3 linked regions of the Xenopus tropicalis genome follow. The protein of the gene in region 2 interacts with the protein of the main gene of each other region in a biochemical or structural test. Links are inferred from orthologs where the notes say so. Each region holds a gene or a part of one and is shown on either strand. Other genes may lie near its edges.

What was found.
Region 1: the proteins of bag6 (region 2) and sgta form a complex in vitro, tested with the Homo sapiens proteins (4 studies listed by BioGRID, with this or other methods). The link is inferred for Xenopus tropicalis from reciprocal best matches to the Homo sapiens genes BAG6 and SGTA.
Region 3: the proteins of bag6 (region 2) and amfr form a complex in vitro, tested with the Homo sapiens proteins (2 studies listed by BioGRID, with this or other methods). The link is inferred for Xenopus tropicalis from reciprocal best matches to the Homo sapiens genes BAG6 and AMFR.

Annotation. Positions count from the first base shown.
Region 1 is NC_030677.2:99,256,160-99,264,401, forward strand, and holds the start of sgta (small glutamine-rich tetratricopeptide repeat-containing protein alpha), read left to right. Parts: upstream 1-3,963; 5' UTR 3,964-4,007; coding exon 4,008-4,107; intron 4,108-5,101; coding exon 5,102-5,205; intron 5,206-5,898; coding exon 5,899-5,977; intron 5,978-7,142; coding exon 7,143-7,242; intron 7,243-7,877; coding exon 7,878-7,982; intron 7,983-8,060; coding exon 8,061-8,199; intron 8,200-8,242. UniProt on the Homo sapiens protein: Co-chaperone that binds misfolded and hydrophobic patches-containing client proteins in the cytosol. Mediates their targeting to the endoplasmic reticulum but also regulates their sorting to the proteasome when targeting fails.
Region 2 is NC_030684.2:74,259,970-74,267,699, forward strand, and holds part of bag6 (large proline-rich protein bag6), read left to right. Parts: intron 1-192; 5' UTR 193-200; coding exon 201-278; intron 279-1,936; exon of another isoform or gene 1,937-2,233; intron 2,234-2,316; exon of another isoform or gene 2,317-2,336; coding exon 2,337-2,454; exon of another isoform or gene 2,455-2,548; coding exon 2,549-2,733; intron 2,734-3,847; coding exon 3,848-3,907; intron 3,908-4,381; coding exon 4,382-4,438; intron 4,439-6,584; coding exon 6,585-6,659; intron 6,660-6,733; coding exon 6,734-6,864; intron 6,865-6,946; coding exon 6,947-7,073; intron 7,074-7,730. UniProt on the Homo sapiens protein: ATP-independent molecular chaperone preventing the aggregation of misfolded and hydrophobic patches-containing proteins.
Region 3 is NC_030680.2:51,706,542-51,714,271, forward strand, and holds part of amfr (E3 ubiquitin-protein ligase AMFR), read right to left. Parts: intron 4,133-7,730; coding exon 4,040-4,132; intron 3,511-4,039; coding exon 3,346-3,510; intron 3,246-3,345; coding exon 3,093-3,245; intron 1,553-3,092; coding exon 1,512-1,552; intron 78-1,511; coding exon 1-77. UniProt on the Homo sapiens protein: E3 ubiquitin-protein ligase that mediates the polyubiquitination of lysine and cysteine residues on target proteins, such as CD3D, CYP3A4, CFTR, INSIG1, SOAT2/ACAT2 and APOB for proteasomal degradation.

The sequences.
Region 1 (8,242 bases), on a different chromosome or scaffold from region 2:
TATGGCACAATTAATATACTAATTACAATTAATAGAATAATATACAATCAAAGGCAACATTTACTCATTAGTAACTGAAAATAGTGGCACAGATCCTGATCTCTGCTTGCAAAAGCTGGCTGTATGGCAACTTGGCGAGGCGACCGATATCGGAGAAGGCTGCGGATATCAGTCGACTTGATCGGGCGGGTTAAAAGATTTTGATCGGGCGCCATAGAAGGCGCCTGAGCAAAATCTGCCTTCAGGGCTGAATTGACAGAAGGAGGTAGAAATCCTATTGTTTCTACCTCCATATCTGACGATTCAGCCCTGAATGTCAGTGGAGGGTTGGAACCGATGGTCAATGGTCGCACGAAAGATCGAAAATCGCCACGTGTGTGGCCAGCTTAAAGGAGAAGGAAAGGCTAAGTCACTTGGGGGTGCCAAAATGTTAGGCACCCCCCCAAGTGACTTAGAGCGCCTACCTTGTACCCCGGGCTGGTGCCCCTGTACGGAGGGAACAGCACCAGCCCGGGGCACCTGTAGACACCGCTTCCTCCTTCCTTTGCGCACTGCCGGCGAAATCCGCCGGCCGGCGCATGCGAGGAGGAAGGAGGAAGCGCCGGCAGCTACCCCGGGCTGGTGCTGTTCCCTCCGTACAGGGGCACCAGCCCGGGGTACAAGGTAGGCTTTCTAAGTCACTTGGGGGTGCCTAACATTTTGGCACCCCCAAGTGACTTAGCCTTTCCTTCTCCTTTAAGACTCCCAATTTGTGCCTGCTCTTTGATATCTCCTTTTAAAAGTAAACAAATATAAGCAACACACAAACACTTGAAAATCGTACAGTACAAAGCACTTGTGTGAAATAATGCTGAAGTAGGCACTGTTAATTAAAGGCACAAGGATCCAGAGTGCAAATGCTACACCTACTGCATCCTTTGTAGCCAAAACACTACAATCATTTTAAGGGGAACTATAACGAAATTAAAATTCAATATAAGCGTCAATACTGAAATAATACAGTTCCTACATATAATCAATTAAAGATTCAGAACAGTTTCTGAAATAGCCAAGTTTATCTTCATTGTCTTTCATTTTCTCTTCATGCAGGAGTTGGGTGTCAGATTTTCATTAGCAGTTAGATAAAATATATCTTTTGCAGGTTCCCCTTTTCTAGCAGATGTATAATGCTGGCCATACACGTGGCGATCTGACGATGTTTGAAACATCGTCAGATGTGCCACACACCATTCAGGGCTGAATCGGCAGGTAAGGAGGTAGAAACAATAGGATTTCTACCTCCTTCTGCCGATTCAGCGCTGAAAGGAGATTTTGATCAGGCGCCTTCTATGGCGCCCGATCAAAATTTTCCAACTGGTCCGATCGGCGAGTCGGCCGATATCAGCAGCTTCCTGCGATATCGGTCGACTCGCCGACATACCATACACGCACCGAATATCGTACGAAACGAGGTTTCGTACGATATTATCGGTGCCTGTATGGCCACCTTTAGAGCTTACTCAAATAACTGATTCTAGCACAAACAAAATTGCTAACTTTGGCACAAATCCTATCTGTGGTGGTTTTAAAAGATTGAGCTCTAATGCATCTTCTAGGCAAAGGAAACTGCCACCACTCTAGAGATATATTGGATCTGATATTTAAAATCAGGCTCCCACCTCTTGCTTGGAGAGAGGAAGAAGAGAGACAGATGCTGCGAAGCAGGAGAGCGAAAAACAACTTGATTATTTCAGAAATGGGCAGAATTTTAGAAAAAATTTAGAAAAAATCATGTTTTAGTATGCTGAAGCTTATATTGAACTTAAATATTTGTGATAATTCCACTTTAAGCTTAATAAATGTACCCTCTTTACCTGCCTATATCCTGTACCCACTGAATGTGAAATTCAACTGGTCAATTAATGTCCCAATCTGGCCATTAAGTTATTTTCCCCTCTGGCCAAAGATGTTATCCATTAAGTCCACATACGATAATCAAACACCCTGTTGGGGGCATGGGAGAGAGGAAATAAGAACATAAAAGCAGGCTAAACACAGGCTAGTTTGCCTCTATGTTTTGAATGACAACAAGGGTTCTGAAAATTAACTAGAGCTGGTCGACTGCAATGTAGCACATATTTTCGTTAGAAAGCCATTAAGTATTATAGCCTTGTAATATTATTTATTGGTATAATTACCCAGGCATGCACTGCGCCAATACTCTTATATTATTCAAAACTCATATTAATGTTACCATTAAATGTCGGTGTTCCCTGTGCATACCGATATACTTCCAGACGTTAGCTACCTGGCTCCAGGAGCATGGACAATTGTCTCTGACCCGAAACCACCATAGTACAAACAAAAACGCAGCAGTCCAGAGACTCTGAGACACATTCGCGAATCCGACTAATGACGCCACTTCCTGTATGACAGCTGACAGGTGATTCCGAATCCGGTTCCGGGCTTTCGCATGTGAGTAGTGGTGTCTGGTAAGACTGGGTCAGAGAGATTTTTGGGGGGGGTGCCTTTGTGCATGGTAAGGTTAATATAGGTGTTACTATTTTGTGGTAATATGATGGAACCGACATATAACAGACCAGGAAGTTCTGTTGAACACGCTGGTGATAGAGAATGTTGATACAGGGGAGCGGAATGGAAAGACTCAGAGATATATTTAACTAATATATTGGTGCCAATGGCGGCCCGGAGCTTTTTTCAGTTTAATTACACGAACGTGTACTAATACTGCTGGGGCTTCTGACGTGTGGGAGGTGACTTTGCCTAGGTCTGGGTGTCCTGTCTGCATCCGCTCAGCCATTACTGAACCACAGGATCCTGTATGTGCTGATAACAGCATTGTTGACGTCTGTACCATCCATTTGACACAGTACCATCCATTTGACACATTTCTGACCGCTACTGCCTTTAGGGCTCTGGCACACGAGGAGATTTGCGTTTTTTCCCCCTGGTGCTTTGGCGACAAGTCGCCACGACAATACCCACAAAGAGATTTCATGCGAGTTGAGCTCCAGGCGATCTGCTACCCATGGTACACTCAACAGTCAACCCCCCCTCATGTTTACTCAAGTCGCTCAGAAAAGGGTCTGTGTGCGATTTTAAACAGCAGGCGATTTGAAGCTGACGCTGGCGATTTCCATTGATTTATATCTTGTCGCTCGTCTTGTCGCCAAATCGCTCTTTTAAAAATCGCTGGCAACAAATCTCCTCATGTGCCACAGCCCTTAAACTGGGCTTTCCCTAAAATTCTTCAGCTGATTAATCATCCATGCAATGGAAAGGTCATTGGGGCTCATTTATCAACACTGGGCTCATTTATCAACACTGGGCAAAATTGCACCTTGGCAGTAACCCTTGCCAACGAATCAGTGATTAGCTGTTTTCAGCTGGCTGAAGGTTGGGAAAGAAAAAATCTGATTGGTTTCCGTGGAGTTACGCCCAGGGGCAAATATGCCCTGTCTTGTAAGGGACCTGTGGTGTTTCTGAAAGTGCTATGCCGTAGTGATAAAAATACTAGGTATTTTAGCAGATGCTGCAGCTCTTATGTTGAAGTCTACCTTTGGAAGATAATACAGTGTGTGTATGTCATACAAACCCTGTTAACTGGGTGGAAATATTGAAAATGTGTATAAGTGTGGCCCTAGATATATGGGTTGTGGGTGACCATATGTACATAAACACTGTTTTCTTTTTCCTTTGAGACCTGTGGCATATCCAGTGGCCGCTCTAAACAACAGTATTTGTTGAACAAGGGGAGCTAAAAATGACGAACATTATTGGATATGCCTGCAGAGAATGGTGCATTGTTAATCATTTGTATAAATGTACTTGTGAATATTTGCTTAATGATAAAATGGCAAAGACTGGTGATTCTGAATGGTACCTGGAAAAATATATCTATTTTTTTTTTTATCAGATATGAATTCATATTCACTGACATTGTTTATGTTTTAATGCCAGTTTATTTGCAGAGTCGGACCTTGTCACTTGAAGTGTTCACAAATCCAATGGCTGACAAAAAACGCTTAGCTTTCTCCATTATTCGGCATTTACATGACCAGTTACGCAATGGTGGGCTTTCCTCAGATGCACAGGAGAGCCTGGAAGGTCTGGTTGTTACTTCATATTCTATCTTTCTGTTTATTTGATGGGGGAACTATTCTTATGAGACAAAATAGTTTTTTCTTTTCCTTGCTTTTTCATAAAACTTATGATATTCAGCCTGCACCCACCTGGGGCTACTGAACTACTGCCAGATACTTGAAGTGCAAGTTTAACAGGCAGTAGTCCAGAGGATGGAGAGCAGTACTTTTAAATGCATTCTAATATCTAAATGCTTCTTACCATGCATACGGGCAGTAATCCCCAACCAGTGGCTCGCAAGCAACATGTTGCTTACCACCCCTTTTGATGTTGCTTCCACCGGCCTCAAAATAGGTGCCCATTTTAAAATTTCTGGCTTGGAGGCAGGTTTGAAAGCCAGACACAGATTTACTCCAAGCAGAGCCTCCTGCAGGCTAGCAGTCCATTTGGGGCTACCAAATAGCCCATCAGGATGTTGAGAGTAAGTTAAGATTTTTTATGTAGTGTATAACGTGTTATGAATGTTTTGTTTTTTTAAATTATTAATGTAACAATTTTCAGCCTGCAACTGAAAATGCTCTCTGGTTGTTGGAGATCATTGACCTGGGCGAGTAAAATTGAATGAATGTGAGAGTTCAGATTTATTGTTAGTTTGATTATCTTTTTTTCTGTTCATCTTCTTTTAATCATCCATTGTGACTTCCAAACTGCTGTCTGGTTGTTGTATTAGCTTGCACCTCTGGTGGGGAAGTGTTTCTGTTGATCAGTCTCAATTACACCCTGATTCATTCATTTAATAACTGTAAAAAATGAAAATGTACAAGTTTGTAAATTAATATTGTGAATGTTAGTCCACAAATGTTTTCAATGCAAGCCTGCATTGAATGAATTAAGTGTTCCATCCCAGGGAAGTCTTCTGGTCTTTCTCTGATGCTTGAATGCAGGAACTATTGGATTACTTTAAATATATTTGTGTATAATTACTAGATGGAAGCATTATGTAATTTGAATTTTACAGTTGCTATTCAGTGCCTGGAGACAGCCTTTGAGGTTTCCATTGAAGACAGTAACTTAGCTGTACCAAGGAGTCTCCAAGAGATATTTACAGAAGCCACATGTCAGGTAATCCTTGTAATTAGTTATTGACTGACATGAAATGGCATTGTTTTGGAAAAAAATGAATTGCGAAATTCTAAACTTTTTAAAGTCTACATACCATATTTCATCTTTCTTACAAACTTGATAACATAAAGGAGTAGGAAAGTTACAGTTACTGGGGCCAAAGTCTTAGGCATCCCCAATCATTGTAATTGCTTGCCTAAAACCCCCAACCAGTGCTCCTCTTAGGAGAAAACTGCATGGCTGGTGTGTATGTGAGCTAGTGATCCTTCTTCACATGCTCAGTAGAGAGAAAAGCCAGCTTTTCCGCTCAACTGCGCATGTGTCTGTCCTGGGATTATAAAGAAAGAAGACAGGAGGAAGAGGAAAGCTAGCTTGCATATACCCTGGGCCAGTGCAATTTCATCCTAACAGGAGCACCGGGCACAGGTATCAGGTAAGAGATTACAATCACTGGTGGGGGGGGGCTAACATTTGGCACCCCTCCGTGATTTAGCCTTTCCTTCTCCTTTAATCACAGCTTTTACTATAAGACTTTGTAGCTCTACATTCTAAGCTTTCTTACCGTTTTGTAAACTGAAACTTAAAACTAGCAAAGAAGAAAGATTGGTTTGCTGTCTAGACCATAGTTTTGGGAAAATGGTAACTTAATGCGCTGTTAATTAAAGCATTCTTCTTCTCTCCTCCCAAATTCAGGACTCTCCGCAAGTTAATTCTGGCCTGGCCTCCCCTTGTGATGAGGATGTAGCAGAAGCTGAAAGATTGAAGACAGAAGGTTGGACACTTGACATGTTGCATGATCTCTTAAAGGACAAGGCAACGCAAAATATAATTTTTGCCTAATAAAAGAAAACAAGATTCTAAGCAGCTTTGCAATATACATTTATTACAAATTTGTAATGATTTTTGAGTAATTTGTATTTATAATTGCTATTAAAAAGCAGTGTTTGCCTGTCCTTTTCTATTCTCTACCCTGGTGACTCTGACTGTTGAAACAATGTAACACAAGGCAGCAGATTGACAGACTTGACTTGCTGGAGGAGACAGTTGCAACACTGATTAGAAAGTAACAACCAGGAGTTCAGCAAATGCTGCTTTCAATAGCAATTACATTTACAAATAACTTTTAAAGCGCTACAAATTTTTAACTATTTTTCATATTGGAAAATTGCTTAGAATTATGTTTTCTTTTCTTATGCAAAAAGTTATTTTTGGGGTCGACATGCCCTTTAAAATTGTCCCTTGTATTAATTGTTCATGACTGTGAGGTTATGCAGAATATTCAATTGCATTAATTGAGAAGCCATGGTATATTGGTAAAAAAAAAATGGCATTAAGGAGTACATTTTGGGACAAGAAAATACTTGTGGTAGCATAGTTAGACAGTATGGCAGTATAAGGATATTTGATTTAAAGGCGTTTATATAATCTCCACTTCTCTAAATTCACATCTTAACTTTTTTCCTATATTTTTCTTTATATCACCCTCATTTCACCTTTCACCCTTAATCCAGATTTCTTTGCCATTTGCCACTGATTTTGTCCATTTAATATAATTCCCTTACATATTTGTCCTTGTATGTATTTGTGCCCTTCCACTTCAAACTCCCTACTTCTACACTTTGTTTTCTCCTTTTGCTCCACCTTGACCTCCAGCTGCTTTTTAAAGGAATACTGTCATGGGAAAACATGTTCTTTTTCAAAACTCATCAGTTAATAGAGCTTCTCGAGCAGAATCCTGTATTGAAATCTGTTTTTCAAAAACTTTGAAGCTGAGTTTGCAGACTCAAGGCAATTTTGATATCAATTAATAGAAAGAGAAAGAATTACTGTCATGTTATTACTTTTCTTAAACCTGTATCTGTGTTTTAATTATTGTGGCCAGAGGTAGTTTTTGGTGTATGTACCATTAGATGAGCAGAGAATCTTGTTTTTCTTAGGCAATGAGCAAATGAAATTAGAAAATTTTGAAAGTGCTATTTCCTACTACTCAAAAGCTCTTGAACTGAACCCAACAAATGCTGTGTACTACTGCAACAGGTATGTATCTACATACAAGAAATATGTGTGTGTGTATATATCTCTGCTCTTCCCACGAAGAATTAAATAGCAGGCAAGCTTAACCTTTCCCGTGCCTGCCTGTCTGCTTCTAAGGGCACTCCCTCCCCCACCATTACACATAGACAACGGAGCTGAGTTTGTCACACACCGCTGAAAGCAGAAGGGGCATTGCAGGTTTGTGACTGGGCATATTTATTCACTTGGGAGGCATTTCAATTAAAACCCGGAAGAGGGGAACAAACATGGCTGCTCCATGGGTCTCATGCTACCATAATTATGAAGCGAAAAAACTTTGCAGATTTAGGTTCTAAGGAATTTAAAGCTGATACAAATTAAAACACAACAGCAGGTGTAAAAAAAATGTTCAAGTGGCTGTCCATAACACTTTAATATTTAATTTAGAAATTTCATACATATATATATATATATATATATTAAAATGTACTGTTCTGTTCAGTAATTTGTGCCTGTTTTTGTCTTTAGTAACATTAGTAACATATTTTTGCACACAACTTTTACATAAAAGCTTCTGGTTTCATTTGTCATGTCATGTATCTGCAACAGTTGCAAAACAAGGCATTATTAATCACTATATTGCGTGTCTTTTTACACAGGGCTGCAGCTTACAGCAAACTGGGCAACTATGCTGGAGCTGTGAGGGACTGTGAAGAGGCAATTACAATTGACCCTAACTACAGCAAAGCTTATGGCAGAATGGGGTATGTTCCTGTTTAAGTTACTTTACCTTACAATTATGGAAGAAATGTTTTTAAACCATTCTTTTTTAATATTTTTAGACTGGCACTTTCAAGCTTGAATAAACATGCAGAAGCTGTAGGTTTTTACAAACAAGCCCTGATACTGGATCCAGACAATGAAACCTACAAATCAAACCTAAAGATTGCAGAACAGAAAATGAAAGAGCTGCCCAGCCCAGTGAGTATTCTTTGTTTATCCTGTGGTGGGGAGATCTGTTTTT
Region 2 (7,730 bases):
GTGTTGCAGTAGTAGCTTAAGCTGAAAGCAGGTACATTTCTTATGCTATTTCCTGAAGGTGGGTTATGTAATGGGGAAATACATGTCTGCTGTCATAGGCTTATATTGGACACTGCTACCTCTTGGCATTTTGTGCTGCATGGTTGTACCCATGTGATTATTATATGGTTCATATAATTTGTTATAATTAAGGTTGAAGAATGGCAGCTAATGAGAAAATGGAAGTGACTGTGAAAACACTGGATTCACAAACAAGAACATTCACAGTGGATGCAGAGGTGAGGACAGTTTCTGGCTATATATATATATATATATACACACACACACAAATACTTCCAAAAGGGTAAATACTGTATATATATCTAAATATATATATATATATATATATATATATATATATATATATATATATATTTAGATATACAGTATTTACCCTTTTGGAAGTATTTGTGTGTGTGTGTGTATGTGTATATATATATATATATATATATATATATATATATATATATATATATATATATATATGTGTTTGCAACATTGTTTGTTCTATGTTATTATAACAGGTTTATATTGCAATTACAACTGCAATTATAGTTATTTGTATTCTGCAGAATATGTTGAAACTCTATCATCTCCATCATCAATATTAATTTGTGTGGATTTAGAAAAATATTTGATTACAAAAAGTTATAAACCTGCTTTTGCTTGCATGAGGAAATATATGTTTATTTTTACTTACTTTCTAGTTTTCTGACAGATATTCTTAAATAGCATCAGACCAGTACAAGTGACGGAATTAAATACTGTTTTATTTTTTACTTTTATAATACATAAATATATCAAATCTGATCTTGTAATGATGATACAGATGCTACAACTGCAACTGTAGTTCCACCACATTCCACCACAAGACTCACTGCAGCTGCATCCCACAACCTGATAAATGTTAATCAAATAGCAGAGAACATAAATGAGGCAGTGCACTCAGTGGCAGGTGAAGTGGGAAATCGTCCAAGCAGCCAAATAATTATTTTCCATTGCCCTTAAAGGAAAACTATACCCCCAACCTGTATTATTTCTTGTCATGTGATCTCCGAGGGAGCACACAGCCCATCACTAAATGGTGGATCAAGGGAAAGGATGTAAAAGGGCAATATTTACTGATATATGTCATTCTGGCAAGATTCTTTAATAGTTTATATTATGTTAAGTGACCTATCTGTTGGTTAATTATTCATTCTGGGGTATAGTTTTCCTTTAAGATGGAAACTGGTGACTTCGAAATGAAAGCAACTCTGTATATGTGCCTATGGCTGGTGATGCATCCAAAACCTTTGTAAAGGACAACTATAGCCTTTAAAGCAAGTATTTTTAATTTCTGTTATAAAATAGGGAAGTGGCACTAATTTCCTCTCCTAGAGGTGGCCATACAGAGGCAGATTTAAGTGGGTAATTCATTCTTCAAACCAAGTCATCAGTAGAAATGTGCATCTGTGGGGCTCTTCAGTGGGTGTGCCTGAGTGATATCTGACCAAAAATCATTCATAATTACTTCATAGATGAAAAAAGGCTGGCACAGGAAAAACTGGGCCAATTAACAAAAAATGTGGTGCAATTAAAACATGTTTCTTTTTTTATTTAAAGAAAAACATCTCAAACATGAACAGTCTGACGCATTTTGTGCCAAAAGCAGGCATTAATCATACGCTTATGGCCTAATAATCGAGCCTATGATTACGTTTCTGCTTTTGGCATAAAATGCGTCAGGCTGTTTATGTTTGAGATGCTTCTTCTTTAAAAAAAAAAAAAAAAGAAACATGTTAACTGCACCAAATTTTCTGTTAACTGGTCCAGTTTTACCTGTTCCAGCCTTTTCTCATCTATGAGGTAATTTTGCTTGAAATTTGCCAGTAAGCTTGAAGGTTTTTGAGGCTTGTGCATCTGGGCCCTTTATTTTATTTTTTGTTCAGGTAAGTTTTATTGCAAACAAAAATCACATCAATAGGTACTGACATAAAACGTTTGAAGTATACAAAGAGATATTACAAATGTCACCGCGTTGTAGTCATATACATGTCATGTTGTAGTGATGGGTAGTTAACATTTTAGGGGTTACATGGGCCCTTTATATTAATTGGTGAGTATGCCCCCATAACAAGCCCATCCGGAAAAATTCTTTATTTTGAATGACAAAAATCATGCATGGCCACCTTAAGAAAGAGAGAGGTAGACTCTGTACCGTTATTTGTGTATTCATGTTAGTATAGTAGAATGTATGCATGGGGGACAAAGTCATAATTGCTGCCTGCCATTTACCTGTACTCTTTCTCCCCTAGATCACAGTAAAGGAATTCAAAACACATATTTCATCTGATGTTGGAATTTCACCAGAGAAACAGCGGCTTATATATCAGGGGCGAGTACTGCAAGAGGACAAAAAACTGAAAGAATACAGTAAGTTTTTTGTGTGACTTTCCTTGTATATCTATGTTTTAAATGGTCCTTTTAATATTGGCATGCTCTTACATAGCATGTATGCTTTTTTTAGATGTTGATGGGAAGGTTATTCACTTAGTTGAACGGGCTCCTCCTCAGACACAGCCTTCAACAGGTGGACCATCTACATCTTCAAGTACTTCACCATCCAGCAGTAATGCCGCTAATGTACCTGGGGCTGGGGCTCCTGAAAGGAATGGAAACAGCTATGTGATGGTTGGCACATTCAATCTTCCGGTAAGACAATTTGGTCACACGCAGAGAAGCTCTTATTGTAACAGAAGAGAATCATTGTGAACTGTTGACAGTTGGGTATATAAAGGACACTATCACTTTTTATTTTTAATATAATGCACTATTAAAATAATGGCATATGGGTCAGTTCTCAAGAGTTTTCCCTGCTGTAATCTTAACATGCAGACAATAAAGGATTAACCTTGGAGAACTTAAATAATTGATAATGTCATAGACAAGGAGGTCCCTGACCCATAGAGCTAGTTGTTATAACTGAAAAAGCACATGGAAAGCTAATAATGAAGCTACTAACAGTGGATGGTGGTTGGCTCTTAGAAAAAGTTGAGTGGTTTGTTGTTTGACATATGCGGTTTAAATGATAGATTAAAAGATAAAAAGGAGAAGGTGAAGGCTGAATGTTAAGTGAAAAATATTAACAAAAATCTATCATCAGGATTAATGATTTCTGATTGCTAGGGTCAGTGACGTGGGAACCCTTAGAGAAGCTAAAGGAAAGGTGGCAGGGGGCTCAGCCAAAGGAATAATGGGAATGGAATAATGCCTATTTGTTTTTTTAGATTCCCATCTTAAATATCCGTTATGTATGGTAACTTTTAATTGAATATTCCAGACATAACATTAGCAGGAATAACCCCTAAATATACCCATAACCCAGGGATCCCCAACCTTTTTTACTCATGAGCCACACTGTGACGTAACAAGTGTTTGTGAGCAACACAAGCATGGAAAAGGGTCTTTGGGGATGCCAAATAAGGGCTGTGATTGGCTAGTTGGTAGCTCCATGTGGCCTGCTGGCCTTAAGGAGGCTCTGCTTGGAGTAAAACTGTCTCCCTGCTTCCAAAACTTGCCTCCAAGCCAGAAATTCAAAAATAAGCACCTGCTTTGAGACCACTGGGAGTAACATCAAAGGGGGTGCTGAGCAACATTTTGCTCACGAACCACTGGTTGGGGGATCACTGCATAACCTGTGCATAGATACCCTATATCATGGGTAGCATGTACTAAGTGTCATGTACCTGTTTTTTTTTTTTCTTTCTTTGATTCAAAGAAACTTTTTATGTGACTGCTAAACTTCTATTTACCTATTGTTCTTCAGCATGTAATGTCTGGTCTTGGTGAGGCCAGCAGAGGCCCACGTGTTTCTACAGTAAGTGGGGTAAGTTTATATATGTACACTATATTTTCTTCTGCATCCTTTTGCACCTTTTAGGTCTGTCACATTTACTAGCAATAATTGCCTGTGTTTCTTACATAGAAGCTTGTGCTTGCATTTTTTTCTGTTGTATGCTTGTTCCATAAGAGATTCTCCCCCAGCTGATTGTTGTATACCATTAGGGAAATCTGCAAGTGTATTTCTTGATAGATTGTAAGGAATATTTTTCTGACATACTGTTACTGTTCTCCCCATTTCAATCCCACCCCATATTTTTTTTTTTCACTGTATTCTTCCCTTCTTATCGATATTATCTCTCATACTTCCCTCTCTTTCCAACTATTCTGACATCCTCCTTTACCTTTACCCTTCATACCCACATCTTTTATATTGTCTTCTTTTTTTTCTATTCCTTCCTCTCGCACCCTTGCTATTTTCTTTTTGTCTTTCTTTTGTCTTCCTCTTTCTTTTGCTCAGAATGATGGCTCCACTCTTGATGTCCATATAAATCTGGATCAACAGCTCCCTGTCCAGGTATATGGAGCGTAGGAATTCAGAGCAAGGTCACACAAACCACTTTTTCAATATGAATAACATTAGAGGTTGTTTGGATATTCTTTGGAGATACATTTATCATTAACAATGTATTACTTTCATTTTGAATGCTTGGTAAGCCTTACCGCTTTTCTTGTTTTTGCAAAGCATTTTCTATAGACCCTAATCCTCTCCATATCAGTTGCATTTTATTTGTAAAACTTAGTCATTTAGTTGCTTAGGCCTAGGCCAGACACATTACATTAAATTTCCAAAAATGCTGAGTCAATTCTTTTTTTTTTTTTTTTTTTTTTTTTTTTTTGTTATAGAGGTAAGTGTCAAAATGTTTACAACACTAGTAAAACATTTCAACTCTTTTCACATTTCACATTTAAATAAACTTTTAATATCTTATAAATGGAATTTTTCTAAGCCTTATACCTGGGCAGATAAGCTCCAGAATCGGACTAAAGGACTCGAAACGGCAGCTTAAATCTGCCTGTGTATGGCCACCTTTATACACACAACCACAAAGCAGGTTGACTGTATTGTTCTTATATGTTTTATTGCTTATCTTTAAGTTCAGGCTCTCTGCTATTTATCTATCTTGTTGACTTTTAGGGCTCTGGCACACGGGGAGATTAGTCGCCCGCGACAAATCTCCCTGTTCGCGGGCGACTAATCTCCCCGAGTCGCCATCCCACCGGCGAAAATGTAAGTCGCCTGCACAGCGTGTGCTATCCCACTGGCGACTTACATTTTCACCGGTGGGATGGCAATTCGGGGAGATTAGTCGCGGGCGACTAATCTCCCTGTCTGCCAGAGCCCTTAATGTATGGCCTGGTCTAAGATAATTAAGTCATAGCAACCAGATAGCAGTTACAATTTCACACCTGAGAGCTATGTAAATAATTAATAAACCACAAAATATAACAAAGATCCATTAAAATTGCCTTAGGATACCACTGTTTGTGTTGAAAATCACCTTTTAACTGACTCAGAGCCCATCTTGCCCCACGCTCCCAGGTATACCCTGCACAAGTAGGACAGAAAAGATTCATGAGTTCATGTGGGGTGTCAAACAAATTAGCCCATCAAAGAGATTTTTAACATTTCCATGTCTTTTTACGCTGGCCTTACAAGGTCACCAAACTAGTGGCTCAGGGGCCAACAATTGGATTACACTGTGGGCCTATAATTAAGGATCTCCTTAAACTCTCAGATTTTCAAACATGCCCAATACATATCTACTGGATTTATGATCAGATATGGTTCTTACAGGCTCTGCTGAGGGCCCACACAAGGCCAGTAAACTGCCAACTTGACTGCATTTTATCAGCCTATGTTTGGTTTTAACAGGACTGAGTGAAAATGCCTGAAACATCTGAGCAGATCCAGTACAAGTCGGTATTAAAGAGTCAACTCTGATTTATTGCAAATTATCTTAAGCAGAACATTGTTTTATCAGTTTAGGGTGCACATGTGTTATTGAGGAACCCATAAGTAATAAATATGAAATTAACACAGAGGCTCAACCAAAAATATGTTCTTATTGAAATCTGTGGACTCATGCATTTCTGGGCAAGTGTTAGTTGCTTGCATGATATCTACATGGCTTTAAATGGTAGTGGTTAACCACTGTATATTTGACCTATTTAAAAACACAATATACATAGTGCCTGGTATTTAGTTTAGTGGGTTTGTTCTGTTATAATTGTGAAACAACAAGAAGGGACATTTAAGATGCAAATCCAAACTGAAGACCAAGCAGTTGCTGAGGCAGTCTAATGCATCCTGATGCTTTCTCTCGCTTCTCCTTGCTTTCCTCCATCTTGCTTTGTTATCCATCTGTGTTTTTGTCCACACTTTCTACTTCTCCTTCCAATCCCACAACTATGATTTTTGACACATCTATGTAACTCTCTTCACTCTTCTGTAATGATGTCTTTCTTCTCTTTTTATGCCTTCCATTACCTGGCTACCAAATTCTTCACAACCTTACATAATATTATAATTCTTTATAATCCCAATCCCTGCGTTGATGTATATCTTTCTTTACCCACATAAATTCTATTTCATTCTCCTCTTCTTTCTTTCCATATCCATTCTACTTTTCCCTTTTTCTCCTGTTTGTCTCCCTTTGCAGAGTGAACCTCGTGTTCGTCTTGTTTTGGCTCAGCAAATACTGCAGGACATACAGAGGATACTGGATCGTTTGGAGGTAAGAAAAACCTTTTGTAGCTTTATGCAAGTGTATGTGGACTGCTGGTTCTATAACCTTTTTGTGTATTTCAGGGACAACCAGTTAATGAGCAGACTGCAGAACCGATGGACACAGCAGTGTCTGAAGGAGAGGCCAGCAGTAGAGAAACCTTGCCTCAGACTACACAGAATACAGATGGGCAGTCGAATACAGCCCCTACCAGGTGAAACTGTAATTCCACCCCCCCCACCCCTTTTTTATCTCCTTTTCTAAAACAACAGCTTATAATAATTCTTTTGCTTTAGTCATCCTTCACCATCAGAATATGTTGAGGTCCTGCAGTCTTTGTCACGGGTTGAGGAACGTCTAGCCCCTTTCATGCAACGTTACCGGGAAATCCTTAGTAGTGCTACCTCTGATGCCTATGAGAATGTAAGTTGCCTGATGTGTAAAAGATTCACGTGTTAAACATTTCATACTTACAGAATGTCTATTAATTGATTGTTTAAAAAGCAACTTATTAAGATTAATTTGATGATTTATGTAGATAATAAGGAACATTATTCATGGCTGTTTGAGTTGATGCTTGTGAGAAAAAGGCACAGATAAGTAAAGAGATATTTGCATTTTTTAAGGGTCAGTAGCTGGACTATATTTGGCAAATCACATATTTGTATGCATTGGTATAGGCTTTTATAGGTGAAATTTGTGAATAGGTTCTGGTTTTGTGATAGTATGATGGGCTGTTCTGGATATGGAGGAATAACATGGTCTGTGAACTATAAGAGGATACTATGAATGTGTGAGAATGCAGATAGGTGTATTGGGTTTTTGGTTAAAAATTCAGTTGTACTGAAACAATATATTTGCTGAATTGTAGCCAGCACTGACTATATGAAATGGTAGAGAGAGTACTGCCTAAACATCTGTGCATGTAATGGCACCTTGAGGGACCTATGATATTCTTGCATCACAGTCGTATGATTCTCTTGCATTGCAGGTCTGTTAAGTTTAATCTGTCAATGCCTTATGTTATTGTGTGGATGGTTCATGGGTAGATGAGGGCCTAGCCTCTTTTTATTCCTCTCA
Region 3 (7,730 bases), on a different chromosome or scaffold from region 2:
AATCTGTGTAGTATACATAAGTCCCTTTGCCCTCCCATGTTCCTTCGTGGTTTAGGTCCCAAAGGTGAATGACATAGCTGCAAGAACCCATATTATGAAACAATAGAAAGTTACCTAGCTAGTATAAATTGGCACTGATAAAAGTACAAGTGTTGAAGACAATATGGCCCTCAGTTTACAGGTCAAACAGAATTATTGTAATGCAAATCAAACAGAAAAATGCTCATGCCCAGAACACCTGATAAATGTGTCTCTTATACTTTGTTTCATGCACTGGCTTCCAATTAAATGGATTGGAAATGGATTCTTTTTAAAATCTGCCTTCTTATAATTAAGGCCCTAATTATCTGAAAAAACTCCTAATTTCTCATATCCCCAATCGCTACCTCCAATCTTCTCCATCGCAATAAAATCTATTTGCACTATATAAAACGGTCATCTGCAATCCAAAAATCATCTTCCTTAAATGTATTTAAAATCAATCTCAAAACATATACACGCACCTGGGCTTTCTGAGTAAATTAAAAAGTATCTTATTCATCAATAATGTTTGTGTCCCATGGGAGACAGGCACTATAAAATTTTATTATAGGTTTCCTGAACTGGCTTGCAGCAACTTGCAATGTTATCCACCCTCTGCCCACACATTAAACATTTCTACCACACAACACTTATATTTGTATGGGTCTTGTGTGTCCCACTCTGCATTTATATTGCAAAAAACCTTTACCTGCTACCTAAATTTCTCAGTTTAGAATTACAGCTATAGGACCCGTTATCCAGAATGCTTGGGATCAAGGGTATTCCGGATAATGGATCTTTCCATAATTTGGATCTCCATATCTTAAGTCTACTAAAAAAAAATCAATAAAAGATTGATTAAACCCAATAGGATTGTTTGCATCCAATAAGGATTAATGATATCTTAGTTGCGATCAAATACAAGCTTCTGTTTTATTATTAGAAAAAGGAAATCAAAATCAATTTTAAAAATCTAAATGATTTGATTAAAATGGAGTCTATGGGAGACAGGCTTTACAACATTCCTAAGCAATCCTAAATAGTTTCACAACTGCCGGCTACTAACAGCACGTTTCTTGTTCACATGACTGAGGGTATGGCTTCCAAGTGGCAAGGTGATTTTGATCACGTCAGCTCACAGGACCCTCAGATCATGCAGACCATTACTGCCTCAGATGGAGAACATCAGCATTCATAACACCGGTCTCTGCCTGCCGCCCTGGCTGATGCACAAGGAACAGTGACAGACAGACCTCTGCAAGCAAAACTCTCCTGGATCAACAATGCAATACCTCAACTTCAGTTACACAGTTTTTCTACATCACATCAAAGGCTACATTTTAGCACAAAACAACTCTTGCAGTAAAAGCACGAGCTATTGCTGTAAGATAATATACTTATTTGATATGTTTTGGTTTTAACACTATTGTACATACTTTCATTTAAAAAAAAATAAAAAAAAATAACACAATAATAGTTTTAGGGCTTACCGTAGCACAACATGAGTGGTTCTTGTTGTCACCAACATGCACTACAGGAATAAAAGTAATTCATTTTTAATGTGCACAGATAATCAGCAGCTTTTAGATCACAATTCTCTTAAGTGTCCAGCAACAGCATAAAATAAAAATATTATTTCTACAGTTAAAATGCGTACCTGTCCAACCATCACCTAAAATAGGTGATACCTCCTGAGGATGTGTAACATACCACATGAAACAAGTAGAGAACCTCAGAAGTTTCCAGGATTTTAAAGAATTTTTATTTAGTGCTTGAATGAATCTCTGTGAGTATTCCATTTGGGTTTATATTTATTTCTTATTAAAATGTTACTACACAATTTTGGTGCACTTTGTTTTCAGTGGGTATCCACATAAGATAGACAGAAGGTCCCTGATGAAAGATGGATGTTTGGCCTTGCTATTTATGCATCTGGTGATTAGGTGATTTAGCCAGAGTGTGATATTTAGATCACCTACACTTACATGAGATTTGAGCAATCACACTTTTAAGGAAATAAAATATTAAATTATTAAATAGTAATTAAATTAATACTGGCACATTTGCACTTTAATTTACTCTATTGAATGTGTTGTGCCAGTGCTTCCCTACAGAATTGTTGACATCACCTAAAAATAAACTATTTCTTAGCAACAAATGTCCCATTTATATAAGAAAAGTTTTAATTCTATTTCTGTGCTACTAATGCCACTGGACCCTTGTTAATCTCTTTGGCTACGTACTAAATAACATTGTATTCTAAAGAAACGATCCATTTGATCTGATGTGTTTGTAAGATTGAGTAAAACCAATCACAGAGAACACCAACATCAAAAAAAGGCACTTAAACTCTCATATATATATATATATATATATATATATATATATATATATATATATATATATATATATATATATATATATATATACTGGTATTTTAAAGAAAAAAAAAAAAACTGGATTTACCTTACCGTATTTAAGGAATCATTCAAATGGAAAATTCAGCAATGCAGTCACTTTTATTAAATTCTAAAAAGGTACTGTATTTCAAGGAGTGAACCCTTTCTGAGGACTTGTGTTGCTTTATTTTCCTTTTGAGAGATTCCTGCTACCATTAAAAACAAGACAAGACAAACTATAGTCTGACAAAAAGTACAACAGGATATAAGTTAGAAATGCAGACAAACTTAAATGCTAATTGGTAATTATTCAAGTAATAACTTAAATTAAAAGGAGACATTAACGCTATGTATAACATATAAAACTGCTTATCTCAGCACATTGAAATTCACATTGATTACAGAGAAGGGGAGCTAAGCTAAGCATCAACGGACACATCCTACTTCAGTAAAATAAGCTTTTTTACACCTTCATGATAATAGCAGAGACCAGAAGAGAAGTGAGCAATTTTACATTAAATTATATAATAGGGTATAAATACCTTTTAAAAATTAATCAAAAGCAGTATACTAAGACAGGGAGACTAAGAATTTGGTATCTAAATGTGGAGTATATTAAAGCAGCGAGCAGGCTTATGTACCACAGGGAGAAACAATCTGGTATTTTCTTACCTCAGCAGCCATAAAAGCCAATGTGTGCATCCCATGTGTGTATCCAGCAATTGCACACAGCACAGCAAGACCACAACAGGCCAAGAGCATAATATTCAGCAGAACCAAGACACGCATATGGCAACTCATTGGAGTGGTTGGGGAGAAAGATAACTGTAAGAAAGAAAGGAGAAAATCATTTAGAAATATATGCACAGCAGAATCAGAGCTAAATTTTTAGTGCAATGTTTAATTTTTTTCCCATTCTACGTACGTATTCAAACCGATCCTTACAGAGCTGCACCATGAGATGAAGAAAAAGCAATCCAGCAAACCACAAAAACCAAAGGACCACTTCCTCTACTGTCTGGACATTGAGTACCCCAAAGATGAAGATAAATTTATAAAAGATGAAGTTCCAAAACTTGTCCTTCAAGTGCTACAAAAATAAAGAAGGCAAGAGAAGAGTGCAAAGTCAAGATGACTGCAATTTGTAGGATTAAACAGCATACAAGTTGGTTATTAAAGGAACAGTAACATCAAAAAATGTAAGTGTTTTAAAGTAATTAAAATATAATGTGCTGTTGCTCTGCAAAAAACTGGTGTTTTTGCTACAGAAAAGCTACTATATAAATAAGCTGCTGTGTAGCCATGGGGGCAGCCATTCAAGCTGGAAAAAAGGAGAAAAGGCACAGGTTACATAGCAGATAATTAGTAGATAAGCCCCATATAATGGGGGTTTATCCGTTATCGGCTAAGTAACCTGTGCCTTTTCTCCTTTGAATGGCTGCCCCCATGGCTACACAGCAGCTTACTTATATAAACTATAGTAGTCTTTCTGAGGCAAACACACCAGTTGTAGCAATGCAGGGCAACAGTACATTATATTGTTATTACTTTTATACACTTTCATTTTTTGGTGTTACTGTTCCTTTAACACCAACTGGAACATAGACAGTCCTTTTTACCTGTCTCTCTCCAACACGGAGGGGACCAAATACCACATGCTGGATCAGTTTAGCAATCAGCATCAAAAGGCAACACACTGTGTTCACTAGAACCTGTAGAGAAAGAGAGACTGTATGTGGATCCTGTGCCATTATCCAAGTGCAGTTGCCATTATCCAACTTGTAATTGACTCTTTAAATCTTATTGCAGACTGGTTAATACTGGAAACTGTACCCTGGTATACTAATTTATAATGTGTGTACAACCCTAGAGAAATAAAAGGATATTATCACCTGAAAACACTTTTCTTAACATGGGAGGGGTGATAAAGGAAAAATCCTTAAAGGTGTAGTTCACCTTTAAGTTAACTTTTAATATGTTATAGAACAGCCAATTCTAAGCAACTTTTTAATTTGTCTTTTTATAGTTTTTTTTAATTATTTGTCTTCTTCTTGTGACTTTTGCAGCTTTCAAAGGAACGTCACTGACCCCAGCAGCCAAAAAATGATTGTTACTTACAGATTTATTGTTACTTTTTACTTCTTTTTATTCAGACCCTCTCCTATTCATATATTAATCTCTCATTCAAACTACTCTCTGGTTGCTAAGGTAATTTGGACCCTAGCAACCAGTTAGCTGCTGACTCAAGAGCTTGAGAGCAAAAAGTGAAATAAAAAAAAAAACAATAAAAAAATGAAAACCAATTGCAAATTGTCTCAGAATAGTATTTTCCACTTCATACTAAAATGTAACTCAAAGGTGAATTACCCATTTAATAAAGACAAATGCATAAAGAAGCTACAGTAAATATGCATGCAGTCTTATACCTGTACAAAAGTTAACTTACCTGTCTTGTAGTCCCATGTAGTATTTTCATACTAAAACAGGATTTTTGCTACTATTTTAACCAGTCTTACTTTATTTATAAGTCAACTAGCCATTTAAATTTATGTATGTATAGGCACATACACACACTTAAAGGGTCAGTAACATGAGGAAATGAAAATGCACTGAAATATATTACAAATAATGTTCAATTTCACTTTTGTACTAGATCTTGAAATCTTTTTTCCAGTTAAAAATACTTATATGTTAAGGAACTGGCCCCAGAAAAAAATATATTTCTTAAGGCCTCGTATCAGGGGGATTACTATTTAAGTAAATGACAGGCTGAATGGCCCTGATGAGGCAGATTCAGTTTTTATATATGTGCACACTGACATAAGTGTTTCTCATTAAAACCACATATTGTTTTGTCAACTGGCATAAATACCCCAGGGGGGTGAAAGCGCAGATTAGTTGGCACCAGCCAACATGTCAGTGTACCAGTCTGGGTCATTTATAAACACTGGCCAAATCAGCACCTGGACAGTAACCCATGGCAACAACATTATACATTTGCCTTCACTGTTCTCCCTACAGCTAGCTGAAAAGACTAATCAATGATTGGTTGCTATGGGTTACTGGCCAGACAAAAATTTGCCCAGTGCTTTTAAAAGAGCCCCATTGTCAGTGCACACTAAAGTCAGGGTAGAAGACAATCAGCATTTACTCCACAGGTATATTTAAAGGAGACAAGCCCTAATTTTGTAGGCAATTATGAATAATATATGGTGGTGGTTTCACTTTGGGCTAAAATTGAATACTGTCTACAAAAATGGCCCTTTTTTGGACGTCCCTATATCTCCCTAAGATCTCAGGTCTCTGTTAGTGATTCAAATAAAGCATGGGTGTGTCCTAACGGTCCCTGCCAGAAGCACAGCAGGAGGGGGTAACCAATCACAGCCCTGCAGCCATACAAACAAAGACAGGCTTCAGTTCCCTATCAGGTTAGCCTAGCTGCTGCTGGCTCCTATCCTACAGTCCAGTGTGCCGCCAGCTCCCCTGCACATCCAGAGAATTTAGCCAGAAGGAGTGGAACAGATGGGTGGGACTAGTAGGGTTTTGGGGGAATTTCTCAATGAATCAGTTCAAAACGCAACTTTTTTTTAAGCAAAATCCTTCTATTTTTAGAGGAGAATAATTCACTGGTACATTCTTAATTTTTACATGATATGCCTCTTAACTTCAGCAGAGAAAATGGCTTGTGTGACACAGGCCTAAAGGTGGCCATACACATTATAATTATGATCTTTCCAGTGATTGCTCATACCCTCCACTAGCATTCAGGGCTGAATCGTCAGATATGGAGGTAGAAATAATAGGAATTCATCCCTAAATGCTTGTTTTTGCTCGGGTGCCGCCTCGTCCGATTGATGAGACGACCGACATCCAATGCTTTTGCGGTATTGGTTGCCTCAATTCACTATACATGCACTGAATATCGTACAAAACAATATCTTAGCTTAAGGCTAATGCAAGACCAGGATGTTTCAAGGCCTGCATATAAGCGCAGCCAAGAAACAGCACCTCAGCTCACAAATGATCTCAGCGGTGTCTGCACCCAGAGCCACTGTGCCTCAGCACCATCAGTTATATTACAGAGAATTACACCAATACTTAATTCTCCAAAAGTGGATCAGATATGATCCTCCCTCAGAAATTCCCCTAGCCCTGCATCTTATTTTAACACACAAGCACTTTCTCCAACCATATTACAATACACTTGCAAATTAAAATGGGGAGAAAATAAAACTAATAATAAATAATGATACAATATACATGGGCTATCTACATGTCTGCACTTCAACAATTCTGCATTATTTCAGAAGTACAGGTATGGGATCCCTTATCCGAAAACCTGTTATCCAGAAATTTCCGAATTATGGAAAGGCAGTCTCCCATAGACTCCACTAGAAGCAAATAATTTTAATTGATTTCCCTTTTCTCTGTCATAATAAAACAGTACCATGTACTTGATCCCAACTAAGATATAATTAATCCTTATTGGGGACAAAACAATCCTATTGGGTTTATTCAATATTTAAATGATTTTTAGCAGAGGAGATCCAAATTAAAGAAATATTCTTTATCAGGAAAATCCCAGGGCCCAAGCATTCTGGATAGCAGGTCCCATGCCTGTATTTTATTAAAAAATACTTTCTTTACTTTAAAAGCCTTGGCAATTTAACATGCCAGATGGTGCCCTATTATGGGGCAATATTCACTAGAAGATGAAGAAATATTTTTTTCATTTAGTTTGTACAAAATACATTTAAAGAAGACATATTAGATAAATGGAAGAAAACCCTAATCTTCTAGGCAATTATAAATAATACATGGTGCTGGTTTCACTTTTGTCCAAAAATAAATAATATCTATAAAAATGGCCCCTTTATTGGAGGTTCCTATAAATCCTATCAGGTCTCTGTTCGTGTTTGATGAGCAAATGATGAGTGGCATGTCCTAAGGGTCCCTGCCAGAAGCACAGTAGAAGGGGGATAGCCAATCACAGCTCTGCAGTCACACAAGCAAAAACAGACTTCAGTCCCCTATCAGGTCAGCCTAGTTGCAGATTGGTTCCTATCCTACAGTCCAGTATATGGAGTGCCGCCTGCTCCCCTGCACATCTAGAGAATTAAGCCAGCAGGAAGTAGTACAGATGGGTGGCACTTTGGGGGAATTTCTCAATACATCAGTCAACAACTTTTTTAAGCATAATCCTATATTTAGAGGAGTATAATGCATTTGTACATTCTTAATGTTAACATATGTCTCCTTTAAACTCTACAGCACAAATGGTTAAAGGCATTTATTAGACACTGCAAATAT